Arabidopsis thaliana: one gene and its partner. The protein of the gene in region 2 interacts with the protein of the main gene of each other region in a pairwise test. Each region holds a gene or a part of one and is shown on either strand. Other genes may lie near its edges.

Region 1 (5,210 bases), on a different chromosome or scaffold from region 2:
TCAATTGTTTTTGAAAAGAATGAATTGGGTATCGAGACTTCACAGTTACATTCCAGTCAGAGCTAATGTAACTAAAGGAATTTGAGCTAGGAATTTGGTCGAACACCTTCTATGCACCATTTTATGTAGATAAAGGACAGACCTTTCCACTTCCAATTAACAGAGCCGCAAACATCATGACGGAGACGAAATCGAAAAACAAGCAAGTAACTTCGAATACAAAAGATACAACAAGAATTAATAAATCGAAATTACTTACCACTAACAAGTGCTTCAACAACGCTTTAGACGATCGACTCTGTAAAACTTCTTTCAGAAACAGAGCTCTTCTTACTCGGAAATGGCTGCTTGGGTTTATCCTAAAAAGTCTCACCCGGTCAACTTCGGTTCAAATACCGGTATTTCCAGGTTTATATCAAACCTAACCGCACCCCAATAAAACTAACAAAGTCGGGTTTTAGTGTTTTAGATTCACGTCGTGAATGATCTAAAGCCTAGTTGGTGGTGGTATAAAGAGAGAAGTTGAAATGATCTCTCAAATTGGTAGATCAATTAATTCATTACAGCAACATGCTTACATTGTGACAGTCAAGCAACACGATAAAACCGGAAACCTTCAATTTCATAGGCAAATCCAAAAGTTTTAAACTCTAAAATCCACTCAAACCAGAATGAGTCAAACAACAACAAGAAGCAAACAACAACAACAAGAGTCTTCAAGACACTAAAACTGAAATTAGGAAACAACAACATAACAGACACTACTAGGAATAACAATAATCATCCCGAGCCATTACATCAAACCAAGGCTTATTATTACTTAATCTGCCTCGGCATAAGCAGTTTCGAGATGAGCTTGTTCGGCTTCTCTAACTTCTTTCTCAGTCTTCCTTCCTTTCTTGGACTTGTAGTAAACACTCATGAACGTTCCAATAGCTCTATACTTCTTGCGGCACTCCTCATACAATTCACCATTAAACATTCTCCAGAAGCTCTTCTCGTCGAGCTCAGACACCGCGTACTGAGGCTGGAATCCATGGTTCTCTATCAGCCATTTCTCCATCCTACGCACTGCTTCTGATCCATCAAACTCTTCACCTCTTAGGACACAGCCAGGTGCGTAGTAGACTCCAACATCAGTGTACATCTGTGCATCTTCTGTGTCTCCTTGTCTGTTTTCGTACTCGAAGCCTGGCTCTGGGTAGATTTGGCCTTTGATTGGCTGCTTGAAGAGTTTGTGTGGGCAAAGCCAAATTGGATACACCTGAAAGAGAACAAACAATTCATGATTTTGTTAATAACATCAAAAGAAACTTTAACTAGAAGATGATCAATCATGAAACCGAGCTTTTAGTTTTACCTCCATTTCGCGGTGGACCCATTCGAGTGCATCGCCAACCTTGTAAAGAGGAACAAGCATATCCTGAATAACATGCATATCATGGTAATAGTTCCTGATAGCTTCACCTTGAGTGGCCTTAAGAAGAGAGACCTTTGGAGGCATCAACCAACCTAAGAGGTACCTAAACCAGAACTGATCACCAAATGGAAGAATAAGCTTCCCTTCCCAGTACAAGCACCTTGTGTGCCTGTGGTAGTATTCACGAGTTGGGATGTACTCAACAAACTGTCCCTTTTTCAGGGCGGTCTGCGCGTGCTGGTAGAACCACGGCTTGAACCACCATCCCACATTGTTGATTTTGTTCCCTTTCTTCTTTGCCTCTTCTTTAGATGCATATGTTCCAACCATCATCACTCCTTCCGTTGGATTGTAAACCATGCCTTCGACGAAATCCGGGATTTTCGACTTGTCACCGTCTTTGGGAGCAAAAGAATCAATGTAACCTTGAGCTAAGGCTTGAAGATCACCCTTGACTGGTATGTAAGTGAGTCTCATGTACTCCTTGACTTTAATAAGCCTGATCTCAGCAGCTACAAGGAGTCCAAGAGTTCCTTGCGACCACGGGATTGCGTAGTAAAGATCAGAATACTCATTATCCCTTGTGGCGCGGACAAGCTCTCCACCCGCAAGAACAATCTCGTAAGCCTCAACGGTATCAGCAAACAAACCGTAGATGTGAGAGCTTCCTTCAATACCATATCCATTGATAAGTCCACCAACGGTAAGGTCATCAAGCTCAGCAACAACAGCGAGAGACAGGTTCATTGGGACGGTAGCACGGGAAATCTGTCCCATGTTAACAAGAGGCTCCACTCTAGCAGTCATCTTCTCCTTGTTGATCTCAAGGATGTTACGGAACTCCCCCAAGTCAACCTCGAAATGCCGGGCTCTCTTGTAGTCAACGTTCCTCATTCCAACAGCGATCCAGGGCTTACGAGCAGTGCAGACAAGCCCGTCCTTGGAAGCATCCCTACCCTTAAGCCTTTTGATGACTTTCTTGACATTCTCGTCGTGTTCCTTCTGACGTTTCTCAAAGGACTTGGACTCTGACCACATGTCCCCGAGGTAGATGAGGAAGTAGAATGTGGCTGAGAATGGAAGGACGATGAAGATGACAATGATCCATCTGAACTTGACAAAGTAATCAACCCAAGTCTTCTTCCTCTTGGGCCTCACAAGCGGTGTCTGAAGATCCGACATTTCCTCTCCTCACTGCATCAAACCAAAAAGAAAATCAAATCAACCAGAGTTTCAAAATCCATCACTGTAAAAGTCAACAAGGCCTAAGAAGTGAGCATAAATCTACCAGAATGTCAAAAATACTAAAGATTAGTTTCTTGAATCCAAAAAGAGTATAATAAGCACACATAAACACATACGTATACACACATGTGTATCAGTGTATGTGTATGAAATAAATCTGTAAGAAGAAGATAGTGTGGAGTCCATGGAAACAGAGAGCTAGTGAACAGAGAGACAAAAAGACATGAAGTTATGTTCTGAAAGAACAAGAACACAGAAAATGGTTATAATCTTTAGATCTACACATCTAGTATTCCTACAAAGCCATCAAAGTCTGTTTTCTACCACCAAAATAAATAAATAAAAGTTGGTGAGCAAAGTTTGAAACTTTGTTTGAAATTCTCCAAGACTGAGATGATTAAAATTAAAAAACCCACATAGTTCACTAGTGCGTGCTATGAAACAACTATGAACCAAGTACTGAGAGATCTAACGACAGGAAATGATAAGTCAGCGACTGAGACAGAGAGAGAAAGAGAGGTAGAGAGAGTACCTGAAGAATCCAAAGGAGAGAGAGAGTGAGAGGATGAGATGTGAAAGTGTCCCCAAGAGTGTGAGAGCATTTGTCTTTATAATAAAACGTGATTCAAGCCAGCCTGCTTCACTTGCATTTTTCGCTCAAAACAAGGTATTTTTTATTTCCCATTTTTTTATATAATTTTAAAATAAAAAAGGTAATAATAACGCAAAAATATAGAAATTAAGAAATATATAATGTATATTTTTCATGGGTTTGTATAAGTGGTTTTTCATATTTCTAAGTTTCTTTGTTGTTATCGCAATTAAAAATTCGATGTTAGTTGTAATGTTGATAAATCACATGTGTTATATTTATGAGCAATTTTTTAGTTTATAATTCTGATGTAAGAAAATAAAAATAAATTGTTTTTACTTATATCAGTATTTAATATATTTTTACCAACTCTTTTAACATTTAGAAATTATATGTAAATCGAACCTAGAGCTTAATTAGACATATCTTCCAAAATATAATTTCTTACTTAGCAGTTAGCATATAAAAGGAATATGAGGACAAATTCTTTGTAGGGATATTTTTTCTGAAAAGAGTTTACTGCTATAAATAGGTAAAAGCAAATAAATAAAAAAAGGCAACAAATCTTAGCAGTTTAAATTTCTTTTAAATAGAAAAATATATCTTTCTTTTGGTATGTAAATCACAATAAATTACAGGAAGACATGTGCCCAATGAAGGAAATGTAATTGTCCAATTCGTTTTTTTTTTAAATGCATTTTATGGGTTGATTGTATTGATTTTTGTTTTCTAAATGCTTTTAGCGAAACAGTCCTCCTACATGTTTGTTGATGTACCTAAAGCACATTCCATCCTCGTGAGGTTACTAAGCCGACGATCTTATATATTGTTTATTGGCAAAAAGTTCATTACAACTTTTCTTATCATAATAGTTATTACAACAATCTTTAACATTTAGTTTTGATATGTTATGATTGAAGCAAAAAAAGCACTGCCTAAAATATCTTGAAAACATTATACATTATGAATGCTAATGAGAGTTCCTTATATCTTTCTCTCAACTCTTAAGGGATCTTCAAATGAGTGTTTTTTTTAAGCCAAAACAATTGTGAATTAGTCATTCACTTTCATCTTATTCAGATTACAATGTAGTATTTTAGAAACTAATGTGTAGTAAAAAATTTTATATAAAATGCCTCTTATTTATATAAAAAAAAAAACTACGGCTGTGATGAGAAATGTTTTCCCAAATCCCAATAGCCATGCTTTTCATCAAAATTCATATATGAAATCATTTGTATCATTATCAGTGCCTACATAATACAGTAATAAACACACAAACTATCACGTTATTTGGTGAAAAAGGCTCTCAATATATAATTCTGTTACTGTAACCAATTATTTGATTTCCACCTAAGTATTTTAATAGTTGATTTAGAAAAGCAAATAAAATCATGATTTATTTAGAAAAATGGTTACACTTTAAAGTAATGAAGTGCTCAAAAAGTTTTTTTTGTCGCCAAAAAGTAATTATTTATTTATTTGACATAGAAAGAAAAAAAAAATTACAGGGATGATGGCCTGTCTGAGAAAATATCCAGCTCTTGCAAAATCTCTCATAAAATATATTTACTCTTTAAAATATGCCAACTAATTTCTTACTCACATTTACAGCTACAAATCATTTTTTTGTAGTATGGAAAAATAAATGTCTATTTGGCGAATCACACCTTTTGACATTGACAGTTTGACGTCAGTGAAAATTTGGTTGACGCTTGACAAAGTTTTAAACCGTTACAAGGTCGTGTAATCACACCAATGTTTACATTACAAGAAACACCAATTTGTTTATATATATATCCAAATACAAAGACATTACTCTTTGGTCCAACGCCAAATAAACCCATGCGTCATTTCTGCATCAACAAAAACCGTCTTTGTCCATTCCATTAGTACCTAAAAAAGTGTGAAGAAGCCAGAGACAACAACCCACATAAATTATGATTTGTTAAG
Region 2 (6,272 bases):
TAAACTACATATAATCAGTATGATTCTGCTATGTTTCCTAAGTTTAAACTAACCTTGGAGTTGTAGTCTCACCCTAACTATGGACTAATTCAGCACAAGAAAAGAGAAATCACCAGCAAGACGACGGCGCTCAGTTCTCACCATGGGAATGTCAATATCTTCCCGAGGAAATCCCTGCCATAAGCAAACGAATCAAAGGAGAAAATTAAGCAGAATTTTCGGTTAAGATTAGAGAAGAGTGAGGACGCAGATACAGTACCTCCGAGTCGATGAGATTGCCGGAGAGACCAGGACCACCGGGATTGCAGAGACGTTCGACAATAGAGTTCATCTCCGTCTCCATGGCTGTTCTCTTGTCCATTAGAGCCATCGTCTCCGCTTTCAGATTCGCGCCAACCATCTTCTCTTCTCTTCTCCAAGTCCGATCGATTCTTAATTCTTTCACCGAAATCAATCGCAACTTCTCTCTACCTTGGGACCGGAGCATGTCACCGTGAATATATTGTGGGCTTCATTAAAAGGCCCAATAGACCCATTCTTTAACCGGCATATGATCCTAACCGTACATTTATTAAATCCAACGGCTATAATCTCTTTGTTTCTACACTTCATATATTAATTTTACAGACAGCACAAGCAGCTTTAAAGCCAAGCAATATTTGTTTATCTCAACCGTAATGATTCCCATAAATTATAAACAATAATGTCTACAAGCTGCTCAATCATCAGTCAGCAGTGAAATCAGGCTCAGGAGGCTTCTGCAGCTTCACCAAATCCCTAATCTTTGTGTTCCGGTTCCTGTGAATGGTGCGAAGCGCATTAGCCGCAAACTTAGTGGCAAGAAATGCAGCCCCAATGGAGTATGAAGGTCCAGCGGTTGAGCTGGACACAGCCGCGGCCTCGGCTTCTGCCTCTTCCATTTTCTTCCTCTTGCAGTATCTACGCCAGGCAGCCTGGATGAAACAAGCAGCCCAAGTCCTCCATTGGTGAGAGTAAAACCTGAATGTGTGCTGCACTTGCCTGCTATGTAAGCGCCGGAACTGGCTTGCTACAAACTTCAGCTCCTCTGAGGTCAGCGCAAACGCCTCTACTTCTGTCAGAGCTTTCACGGTCCTCGTGGAAGACGGGAGATTTACACCTGATTTTGGATCCAATGCCCATGTCAGAAGCTCTTCCCCGCAGAATTCTCCTTCTTTCAGGAGACTGCGGTTGAAGAAACCGCTCCTGCCTCCATCTGTTGTCACACTCTCGAGGCGACCACGTATTATGAATAGCATCTCGTCTACAGGATCTCCTTCCCGCACTAAGTAGGTACTCTCTGTGAACAAGCATGGTTTCAGCCGCATACAGATCGCATCCAGCAGCTTGTCGTCCATGCTCTTAAACAATGGAACCTAATATTATGGTAAAAACGTATCATGAACCAAGCTAGCTTGTCGATGGTCAAGAGCTCGTTTTAGTTATGAGCCGACTGTTATTCAATGGGTCCTAGATGTTCAAAAGGGTGTGTGATCTATGTGAGAAGCTTGAATAAGGAACAGCGGGGAGAACTTACCCTTCGCACTAAAGCCAGACAGAGATGCCGCTTGATGTCTCTCCGGAGATCCTTGGGAAGATTCTGAACGAGATACTCTTCATCTACACCACGTGTCTCCAACCATTTATACTGGTCATAGCGCCTCACACGCTCCCTAAGATCTTGTGGTAACATTCTGTGATGCATCCATTGTTCTGAATCACGCCTCTTTACTCTCATTTCTTCAAGCCGGATGGTAAGAGATTGGAGATATGTCTGTCCCAAGATTGCAAAATGTTGTTAGATAGTCATTATGCAGAGGAAACAAATTATGCATGATGCTTCCATTGAAAGAGCTTACAAGAAATTTCTAATGATCACGAAAGTAGCTAAGGTTGCACCATAATTACTCACCTGCATGTTTCCAATGAGAAGAGCAAAGAGGATCAACCCAGAAATGGCGAGAGATATGGAAAATATAATCTCCATTGGGTATGTACTGGTTTCAAGCCCTTGTCCAAGTGTACTGTGGTGCAACAATGAGAAGTACTATATGAATATCTGAAACTCATAGACGCATAACTTTGATAAAGGAGCCGAGTTTAGTGAGAATTGGTAAGATCAAAGCAATAGTCTTTCGACTGAATAGTGATAGAACATGGTTACCTCAAGTTCTGAAGGCCCCACCACAAACAATAACAATATTTTACGATGAAGTTTTGGGACGAGACAATTCCAGACGATAAAGCCTGTGTATAAATCCCAAAGTCAAATGGAGGATTATTATCATCGAGGTCAGCTCGGCACTTGGACTTAAGAACAGATTCCTTGGCTCTGTTCCAAACAGCATAGCCGTCCATGTTTTGATTGCCACAGTACAAGAAATCTGTGCTGCAATTCCCTGCATCTATACAGGCCTCCTGCCAGCAGGCGTCGTTACGTTCTAAGGCTAAAAGGTACCAAAAAGCTCCAACTATCTGCAAGATACGAAACAGTGGCTCAATCAAAATAGCACTTACCAAGTCAATACTATTATTGAAGAGTAAATAAGCTATACAATCAGAGTTGCTCGTCATAAGAAACTTGACATTTGTGATCCCATGAGGCATGAACATCAACTAAGATAAAACGAAAGGTTGCATAGAACATCAAAGGTAAGCATAGACGGCTTAACCAGAAAGCTCAATAAGCTCCTTTACATGTCTTAGGAAACTAAACATTTGAACATAAGTTCATAACAGTGAAACGGATATGCAAATATTTCCTTGTTTTGCACTTTTGGTGCCACAGTCACATAACTCATGGTGAATGGGCAAGCATTGAATAGTACAAGCAACGTCTTAAAATGAAAAAGGTATATAAACTCACATGACTTGCAAGCATATATAAAAGCAGATAATAAGCGGCACCAGCCCAAGCCGTTTCAGCAAAGACACCTGCTGTCCTTTTCAATTCTGACGTCAAGGGTAAGACACGTAGGAATCGCGGTATATACTGGACCAAAACAATGAAAAGCAAGGCCTGCTTTGTAGCCAATACATCCGACCCATTTGAACTTTGCAAGAACCTCCAAACTACAATCTGCACATACACAAAATGAGTACTGTAAATCTAGAACTAGAAAGCGCTTGACAGAGATGTCTGATCACCAACTACTGGCTACTGCACCCTTTCAACAAATTAAGCAATGATGTTTTCCAACACACAATTTACTGAAATGATCAAAACTTATATTAACCAACCTGAGGGAGAGGAAGTACTGAGAGAAAGTCAATAATAAACCAACGTTGTAGATATCTCTTTGCTATCTGTGCAGGATCAATCACGAGTTCACCTCGCCCAAAGACCCGTGATGAAGGTGCAATATAAGCAGTCCTAAGCTGGAGAGCCATGTGAGCGAGATAAAACACATCGATAAAAGTCCGCAATGTACTTGCTGTGATAGCCAGTTTTCTGTCAATACCCAGGCACTTGGACTCAGCATTAATCACAGGAAGATAGAAGAAAAAAGGGTCCACAAACACTGAAAGAATACATGACGCAACGAATAATTTATTGCAATACAAAAGGAATTTATCCTGAGGATCAAATATCTTCTTTTCAGATACTTTAAGGTCTTCTGGGAACACTGCTCGATAAACACCGAAACCAAGTGAACGTCCGATCGACTTAAGCCCTTTGGAACCCTTCTGGATACCTTTCTTGAAGGATCTAGAAGTTTCATTGCTTGCATGAATAGGATGAAGTTGTCCACTGAAATTGGAGGCGTAGTTCTGTTGGAAGGCTACAGATGATGATGGTAACCTAGAGTCCAAATCATCCACCCTATAAAAGGTATGAACAACACCACTTTCAGATTACTATGCACCAACAAGCTATAGTTCAGTACAATCACACTATACTTTCATAAGGAAACAAATCAGAAACAACCATTGCCAAATCAATACGTTTCTCACATTCAAACTTCAGATCTTTGTATTAAAACAAAAGGATGCAGCACTAACCTCACAAAGTTTTCTCTTTTCCCTGCCATGATTGCTTACAAGGAATTCAGAACTCAAGAGCCTTCCAAGATCACTTGCTCAAATCGATGAAGAAAGAGCACAGCTTTAAGACTCTAATCATTAAGCAAGCTGCATCATCCCAAAATAAGACTAAAATACTTAACCTTTGAAAGACCCAAGTAAAAATAAGTCATAACCATATGAAGTTGTCAAGTTGTGCTAAAATGAAGATTAGACTAACTCTGACCAGTATGAAGCGAAGCAACATCATTACATCAACTCAAATGGATAAAAAAGGAAAAAATTTGATGAATGATGGACACCGACACATAGTAACAAATTTAAAGAGGTAGAGCTAGAGAACCAATCTTAAATTTCTCGCATAGAAAAAAGGAGAATTGAATCTTAGAACAAAATTAGAAATAGAGCAGACGTGAACTTGCTGAAGCAAGAGAAAGAGACAAAGACAAAGGCTTACATGGCTACACGGTTTCAAGGGTCCCGTTGATGAGGATAACCAGAGGAACAACTACGAACATGAAAAAGATGAAAGTGGGTATAAAGCTACCAGACAAGTGGTATCGACTTGACACAGACAAAAAAAAGAAAATGGCAACGAGAAAAGATGAAAACGAAGCAAATGACATTTTTACCCTTGATAATAGGATTAGCGTGGATTGTTTTTTTTGTCCTTCAAAAGTCAAAAAGACCTGGGCTGTGATATTATTATACAACACAAGGTGGAATGGAGGATTTTGTACAAGAAGAAGTTTACAAGGTCTTCTACATATCAAACAACCATCTCAGCTTCTTTCACACTCGAAGGAATTCCAACCTCCAGTCTCATTGTAGCTCTATAATGCTCAGGTACAACAGCGCCAGCCTGAGCACATATCTCCACAACAGCAGGTGCTTGCCCGTAGAAGCTTCGTAGCTCTCGCTGCATCGGTGGCCCATTCACATCAGGAACATGCCAAACATATCTTGGCGGTATCAAGTCGTCAAGTACTGCAGATTGCCAACCATGCTGGCCATTCCGCTGTTGGTGCTTGAATGCACCACAGTTCTGGGCCTTGTGTCCCGTTGGACCTACGTGAACCTCTGGACAGTACCCACAGACCCTAACCCTGTACATCCTCATCAGCTTTTTGGCTCCTGCTCTCATTTCTTCCCAGGCCTGTAATGTTTCTTCGGCTAAGGAGACTGTTTCTTCTTCGCTAGATGGGGGAGTGATCTCTGAGACAGGTAACTCAGTTAACAATGGCACTGGAGGAGGCTGAGGCTCTGGATCAGGCAATTCAGTTTCATCTGCATCAACAAACTCGCTTTTGCCAATGCGGATAATCGGTTTTCTTCTCCTTTTTGCTGGAAATTCGGGTATTTCAACGCCGCCCTGAATGCAGAGCTCAACTACAGCAGGAACTCGGGGAATCGAGAATCTTTCATCATGACGGATACGCTTGCCAAGGCGGTCAAAAAGGTGATAGGCTTCAAGAGGAACAATAACGTCCTCAATAACCGAGTTAGTCCATTCATGAAGACCTTTCCTTTGGGAAGTATTGGGACCTTTACACGACTTAAATGGATGCCCATAAGGTCCAACATGAATCTCATTGCACCACCTAAGAGACCAATCATACAACATCAAAAAAAGGCCATACTCAAAACAGACCAAAAATGAAACAAGAAGAAGAAGAGAATTTTTACCCACAAGCATTAACACGAACAACTTTCATAAGCCGGTGGAGATTGTTGATCAATCTGATTCTTGCATTGTATACTTTATAAGCAAGAGGCACAAGGCTCTTCACAACCATACCATTTTTAGGCGGAGGTAGAGGTCTCTTAGGTTTGTCTTTGTTGTTCTTGACTCTCTCCCTCGCAGCTCGTCTCAGGTCCACAATAGGGACTGGGAAAGGTTTCTTCTCTCGCCTTGTGTACTGCTTAGGTAAGTCTTCATTCTGAGGACGATCATTTCTCACAACTAATGGCAGAGATCGACGCTCTTTACTAAGCACAACTCTTGAATTCAACTGAAGGCTAAACTCAATGCTACTTCCCTGCACAACATATCCGCACATAACAGTAAACATTGACTCTCTACTTCAAAGGGAAGCAACGAAGTGTGGTCTAATTCTAAGAACCAAAACAACAACGAAGCAGAGTCTGGAGAATTGGATGATACTGACTAGTAAAGGAATCTGACCTGAAGAGAAGGAGAGAACCCAAATCTATAAAACGTGTTGGGATTA

The links.
Region 1: the proteins of CNGC5 (region 2) and DWF1 interact in a protein complementation assay, tested with the Arabidopsis thaliana proteins (one large-scale study listed by BioGRID).

The regions. Positions count from the first base shown.
Region 1 is NC_003074.8:6,879,015-6,884,224, forward strand, and holds DWF1 (cell elongation protein / DWARF1 / DIMINUTO (DIM)), read right to left. Parts: upstream 3,302-5,210; 5' UTR 3,198-3,301; exon of another isoform or gene 2,615-3,197; 5' UTR 2,603-2,614; coding exon 1,361-2,602; intron 1,265-1,360; coding exon 821-1,264; 3' UTR 510-820; downstream 1-509. UniProt on the Arabidopsis thaliana protein: Plays a critical role in the general process of plant cell elongation. Involved in the synthesis of campesterol, an early precursor of brassinolide.
Region 2 is NC_003076.8:23,454,893-23,461,164, reverse strand, and holds CNGC5 (cyclic nucleotide gated channel 5), read right to left. Parts: upstream 4,601-6,272; 5' UTR 4,499-4,600; exon of another isoform or gene 4,268-4,498; intron 4,150-4,267; 5' UTR 4,050-4,149; coding exon 4,021-4,049; intron 3,842-4,020; coding exon 3,259-3,841; intron 3,098-3,258; coding exon 2,885-3,097; intron 2,494-2,884; coding exon 2,183-2,493; intron 2,043-2,182; coding exon 1,931-2,042; intron 1,793-1,930; coding exon 1,556-1,792; intron 1,395-1,555; coding exon 726-1,394; 3' UTR 544-725; downstream 1-543. Other genes in the region: AT5G57950 (26S proteasome regulatory subunit), read right to left, coding at 114-174, 260-487; APO2 (APO RNA-binding protein (DUF794)), read right to left, coding at 4,811-5,642, 5,728-6,080, 6,227-6,272. UniProt on the Arabidopsis thaliana protein: Probable cyclic nucleotide-gated ion channel.